2 linked regions of the Nothobranchius furzeri genome follow. The protein of the gene in region 1 interacts with the protein of each later gene in a pairwise test. Links are inferred from orthologs where the notes say so. Each region holds a gene or a part of one and is shown in the gene's direction. Other genes may lie near its edges.

The links.
Region 2: the proteins of prkab2 (region 1) and stx19 interact in binary tests that used the Homo sapiens proteins (3 or more experiments, as listed by UniProt). The link is inferred for Nothobranchius furzeri from reciprocal best matches to the Homo sapiens genes PRKAB2 and STX19.

What each region holds. Positions count from the first base shown.
Region 1 is NC_091751.1:56,448,691-56,451,485, forward strand, and holds the end of prkab2 (5'-AMP-activated protein kinase subunit beta-2), read left to right. Parts: intron 1-965; coding exon 966-1,080; intron 1,081-1,153; coding exon 1,154-1,287; intron 1,288-1,391; coding exon 1,392-1,460; intron 1,461-1,578; coding exon 1,579-1,656; 3' UTR 1,657-2,078; downstream 2,079-2,795. UniProt on the Homo sapiens protein: Non-catalytic subunit of AMP-activated protein kinase (AMPK), an energy sensor protein kinase that plays a key role in regulating cellular energy metabolism.
Region 2 is NC_091754.1:3,808,705-3,812,366, reverse strand, and holds part of stx19 (syntaxin-19), read left to right. Parts: intron 1-221; coding exon 222-434; intron 435-3,662. UniProt on the Homo sapiens protein: Plays a role in endosomal trafficking of the epidermal growth factor receptor (EGFR).

The sequences.
Region 1 (2,795 bases):
ACGACAGATTTATTTGTGCTCGGCATCAGTTCGGTGTGGAGACACCAACCCCCAGTCAGAGTAAATAACAGCCTGTAGACCATTAACTGGAAAGTTTGCAGAGGTGGCTCCGAACAATGTAGTGCAGCTTAAACCAGATACAAAGCAGAAACTAAAAATAGAGATGGGTAGGTTCCTGAAGTAAAAGGAACTTCACTCTCATCAGTGATCTGAAACCAAAAATCACTGATTTTATTGTGTAACAGGATTCACGTCTTTTCCTCTCACACCATCTGAAAGGTAAAGTTGGTGAGTAATAAAAGAGAGTACGGTATGAATAATTTAAGTGGAAGGAAAATTGACTTGCTGTTGAGACGAGGAGCCACTTTAACCATGAGATGATTCGCCAGAGCATTTGAGGTTTGTTGTCTCATCCCACGCTGACAAGATGAATGAGCTGCTGGGAAAATCGATAGCAGCAATCGCCTGCTGGCTGATGCACAGCCTGGAGTCGAACACGTCATAAAACAACTATGTTTAACTGTCAGATTGTGAATGCAGCTTCTCCGCTGGATCATAGCGGGAGCCTTCAGCCTGGTTTAAATGATGTGCTGGGAAACAGCAAGTCTAGCTTTTTTTTTATCTCCTCGGTCGAGCGAGTAAATGTGAAAATAAATACAACAAAATAGTCGCTAAAACAGGTAAACAGGATTCATTAAAGTACGTCGGTCTCCTTCTGCAACTAAATCCACAACATTTCACCCTGCTCTCCATTAAAAATAAAAATTATTGCTTTTTTTGACTCATTATTTTATTATTTTATTTGCCGGAGTCACAAAAGCCACCATTACATCATATATGATAAGTGAAAGGAAGCCCATGTTTGGTATTTTCCTGCAAAATTGTTCACATGCTCATCAGGACCTGCTTCCACTCATGCAGTTTGTGTTGATCATCACCAACTGGGTCGTTGTTTTGTCTTGCAGCCGGTGGTAACGAGTCAACTCGGCACCATTAACAACCTGATCCAGGTGAAGAAGTCAGACTTTGAGGTGTTTGACGCTCTGCAGGTCGACTCTCTGGAGTGCTCCGACACATCAGGTGAGATCCGCTGTGACTCCTTATTTGGGTTAGCAGGGTGTCATCAGTCAAAGTGTGAACTGTTTTGTTCTAGATCTGTCCAGCTCCCCTCCAGGCCCGTACGGACAGGAGCAGTACATCTTTAGACCCGAGGAGCACTTCAAAGCCCCTCCGATTCTCCCTCCTCACCTGCTTCAAGTCATTCTCAACAAGGACACTAATGTATCTGTCAGTGTCTCCATCATCATCGGTCTACTTTGAATTCTAGCTGAATACTTTCAATGTCCTTTCTAAATTTGCCACTGATCATATTTCCTTTCACCCTGCTCTAGTGTGACCCTGCCCTGCTGCCTGAACCCAACCACGTGATGTTAAATCACCTTTATGCTCTTTCCATAAAGGTAGGTGCACTGGAAGCTGAAGTCTGCCTCACGTTGTTCAGACGTGGCAGGTAGAACGTGAAATATTGCATCGTTTTCTGATATAAATTCTTAAATCTCATTATTTTTGTTTGTGTAGGATGGAGTCATGGTGCTGAGTGCTACTCACAGATATAAAAAGAAATACGTCACTTCTCTGCTTTACAAGCCCATCTAAGCCTCCACTCATGGGCTCTTTAAGAGCAGCTTGTTTGTATTCTGCTATTTAGTGTTTGCTTTACCAGCGTTTGTGGTCACCTTCAGGCAAATCTTGCACTGATACACGTTTACAAGTGGGTTACACACACAGGGTGTGCACTTCTGTCTACATAGGGCTTTATTCAAAAGTAGCCAAGTGCATCTGTGGCAGTGAGAGGGATTCAAACTCAAATGTGGCTTTCACTAACACGGCATACTACGAATGCAAAAACAATAGTTTATTTTTGTGCAGGTACTGTATATCAGTCTTTTTTTTTTTTTTTTTAATCAGGTAGAGGAGTTTGAATGTGTCTAGGATTTTTCAGCAGTTTTGATTTTTGGGAACTGTTGTGTCTAGAGATGCACTGAATGAGGGGATTTTCAAGAATGTTTTTGCAAAAACTCAAAATTACGTATCTTTAAAATGTATATGTTGAGAAAAGAGGTAAAAGTTGAAGTAAACGAGGTTTTTAAAGTAAAAAAGAGACTTAATTTCTCCTTATTTGTCACTTTTGTGCTATTGAAAGCTGTAGATGTTTGAGATGACATGAGTAGGTCAAGAGTATTAAATAAGTCCGAATCAAACTTCAGCGCATCTCTAGATGTGCAAGCGTGTAACATTTCTTTCCATTTATTTATTTGCTTGCATGCAGATCAAGAATACGTTTTGACCTGCAGCGACACATTCTGTATTGTCTGACCTTGAAGTGCAAAAACGTGCCATTAAAAAGAAAAATCTAAACCCTGCGTAGTGATGATCACTGGCCGAGGGGATTTTCTAACCTGAGCTGAGATCATGTCTGATGTATCTGAACAGAAACCTTCATCCAGGTGAATCTGTTCGGTTTCTGTTCATGAGCACTTTACCGTCCTGTGTGCAGGAGCGACAGTGTAAGGTTTGAACTATGCAGCAGCTGACAGCTCCATTAGCTTCTTGGATTAAATTTAGATTTTTTTTAAATTTAATTAGCTTGGTTCCTTTTATATGTTTGTTTTCAGCAGGTAGTCAAACATGAATGTACTGCCTCTGTTTAAATGTCTGCAGCCTGCAGTACAGATGTTTGTAGAAAACAGGTCTTTGATGACACGATTAAATGTAGTCTGTTCACTTGAGTGTTC
Region 2 (3,662 bases), on another chromosome or scaffold:
AAACATAGTTATAGCCAGCATCCATTTACCTGCATTTGATGTCTTTTTCCACCTACAGACCTACAGTAAATGCAAAGTATGAGGAGGAGCAAGAGACCAAACATAAATTTTGTTTATGAAAAAAGACACACAAAGATGGGAGTAAAACACCCTCTCATTCCCCCCCCCCCCCCCCCCCCTCACTCCTTTCCCATTTTCTATTTTGCTATAATTACTTCCAGGTGATGCGTCAGTATAATGAGGGCCTGCTGACCAAGCAGGAGCGGTGTAAGCACTTCATTATCCGGCAGCTGGAGGTGTTGGAGAAAAACGTTACAGAGGAGGAGGTGAATGAGATGGTAGCCACGGGAAAATGGGAGATGTTCAACGAGAACCTGCTAAATGATGCCAGAATCACACGATCACAACTGTCAGAGATTGAACAGCGGCACAAGGTGAGAGTGACTGACCCCAAAGGACACTTTAATGTAAAATAATTGGCATCTAGCCTTTTATGACTCTTCTTCTTAAAGACCAAGTTCACTTGTTTTTCCAACACGTCTGCAGTGGTCTCTAGAATAGATGAATGCCTTGTGAGTCGATCTCTGTGGGGAAAATGCTCTTGTGCTCCTGTTTCAGGAGCTAGAAGTTAGCCCAGGGGAGAGGTGAGCAGAAAACAGAACGTCTTATTTCCTGATATTCTTGCCTCTGAATGGCTAACAGCAACACAACTCTACCACTGACTCTGTTTGCTCTGCAATGTTGATGTTTTATCTCCGCAAATTACACAAGCCTGGAGGAGTTCTGTTATGTGGTGGAGCTGCTATTGCTAACGTTAGCTTCTACTAGCCAAGACGTTCTCTGCTGTTTTCTGGATGCTAAACCAATAACATAAACCAGTCAAGATGGGCAGTAGCGGTTTTAGGCATGGGCAGACCGGGCGGCTGCCCGGGGCGGCATTTTTTCATGACACAATTGGGGGCGCACAATCGCCAAGTAAAAATAAATAAATAAGAAGAAACCTGAGCCGCAACATGGTTTTCCATCTCTCAGATATCACTGTGTCTGGGTTGGAACCAGCATGTTGGCACCATCGACATACATATATGGACAATGGGTTTCCATAGACTCCAATAACACGTTTTTGTGCTAAAATAGGAGGTGGCCACCACCGCCATTTTGACCGTGTCACAGGTTCCGTCAAGCCCAGACAATTCCACAAAAGGGAAGAGAGGTGGAGCTGAGGGTGGGGCTGTAAGGCTGGGATCAAATGACGACACCCGGTCGAACTAGCTACAAGCTAACCTGAAGCTAACCCAAAGCTAATGCGGAGGTGGGAGCTAAGCTAACGGAGGTAGCAACCTAGCTACAACCGGAGTTAACTGTGCACAACACCAGAGCTTCTGAGTCAGAGATACGCCGGGCTGACCGCTGGGTAAAACTGGGTGGAACACAGAGGTCTCCGAGAGCTCCACAAGCCATCATCCCGCGCAGCAGACAGAAGCAGTGATCAGACAGAGATGCACCGAGCTGACCGCTGGGTAAAACCGGGTGGAACACAGAGGTCTCCGAGACCTCCACAAGCCGGCAGCCGCACAGCAGACAAACGCTGCGGCGATCTGAGAAGCGCAGAGCTGCTGCTGGGGAGAACCGGGTGGAAAGGTTTCCATCCCAGAGCTCCACAAGCCGACAGCCCGTGCAGCAGACAGAAGCAGCGATCAGACAGAGATGCGCCGAGCTGCGGGGAGGGGAGAACCGGGTGGAAAACATTGGTCTCCAGAGAGCTCCACAAGCCGATAGTGGGAACCCAGCTCCACCAACATGTTATGTTTCAACCCATTTTCTAAAGTGCAGCATCATGTTAAATGCACTGGGTTTTACCCTATTACATTTAAATTTCATGGTTAAACAGTACATGTTAAAATCTAAGCTCAGCTCGGCAGTGACCTAAAATACATAAATATAATTTTACTTACCGAAAACAATGAAGTGGAGACTCCTTGGACGCTCTATTAGTGCAATTAATGCCACAGCAAGTCATTTTGTCCAACAAATGCACAAATAATATCCAAACAAGAATACACAAACACAGAGACTCAAAATCCCAGAGCAGTGTCCAGGCCAGACCGAGGCTCTACTGAGGCCTTTCCACGGAGCTAGCTCTGTGGTCACGTGGGTCTGATGCTCATTAATTATACAGAATTTTAGGCTTTTAATCCACTTAAACAGAAGAGTGAGAAAAACATTCACCCCCTTCAGAGTTGTCATGAGTGTAAACTAGATCATTTAAACCAAAAACATGTTTTGGTACCAGGCTGTCAACATGTTTATTTCTGCTGTGAAATTGGTATTTTTAACATGGGAGTCAATGAGGATTTGCTCGCTTCTGACACCAGCCCCTAGTGGATGAGGGTGGAACTGCAATTTTGGTACTTTCGGGTTGTGACCAATTTTTGAGCCGCATTGTGGGGGCTTGGTTGGCACCCCCTAAAGGCGCTCCTGCACAAGAGAATAGGGCGGGGCGCGGGGGAATTCACCTCATGGTCTCTCCCAAATGAAACAGATGGTGGTGGAGAGTCTAAATCAACTGTATTAGATGACTGATGTTCTTCCATATAACGCAATTTAATTCATAATATTATAAATACAGGCTTATAATTCCTTCACATTTTTCTGAATTATATGAAATGGCCCAAAAAAACAAAAAAAAAGAGGAAAAATAAAACGATTTTGTCTTCACCCACCAAGGTCAATTGGTTTAGTCTTGACTCGTGGTTATTGCTATTGACAACTGGAAACCTGTTTAGAGTTGAGTGCCAAGCGAGATGGACAGAAAAAGGCCAAAACCACCAGGTGCCCAATTCAGGAAAAGAAGAAGAGGAAAAACGGGCTAAAGATAAAGGTAGCACGTTCTCATGATAGGATGCACGTTTTTATTTTTTTAAGCCGGTTAACTGGGGATTTTGACGGTTACATTTGGTCAACTAATCGCTAACAGAGCAAATAGCGCTGAAAGTTTGAAACGAATGGTTCGAATTAATTCCTTGAATCCTTTTTTAATGATTCAAGCACGAGGATTGGTTAACTGCGCACTGCAGCCTGTGGCCTGCCTCCTGAACAACAAAAACACGTTGATCAAGATTCATGTTCACATAATAATGAATAAACTCTACAAGCAGAAAAAAATGTCCCAGTCCTCACTAACTTTCCTGTTATTAGCATTTCCAGTACTACTGAAGATGTTAATGAAATACATTACTGGTCTACTGATCATAGCATGCCAGCAAACTCATGCAGTCTCCAAACATGCATGTGGACCTAGCTGTGAGCCTTTTGAAGACGACACCAAGGTCTCCAGAGCTACAGGGCAAGTGGCTTTGTGACAGCACAGATGGCAGCCAAAGAAATGTGTGAAAAAATTAATGTGGAGGCTGTTTTGAAACCAAAAAGGTTGAGGTCCACAAACTGCCACTTTTCATATGAATCCCATGATGAGCCTTTCAGTGATGCCCTTATAAAGTCAAGGGATGTCTCGCCCAGGGAGCAATTCCAAGTAGAACCGCCAGTCAAGATGGGTGAGTCCATGAATGTTAATTTGCAGTGTGAAGTAGATCTGTCAGGCTTTTCTAATCCAAGCCTTTCCCGGTCTGTTTTCTACCAGCGGCTAACGCAGGCAATAGGTG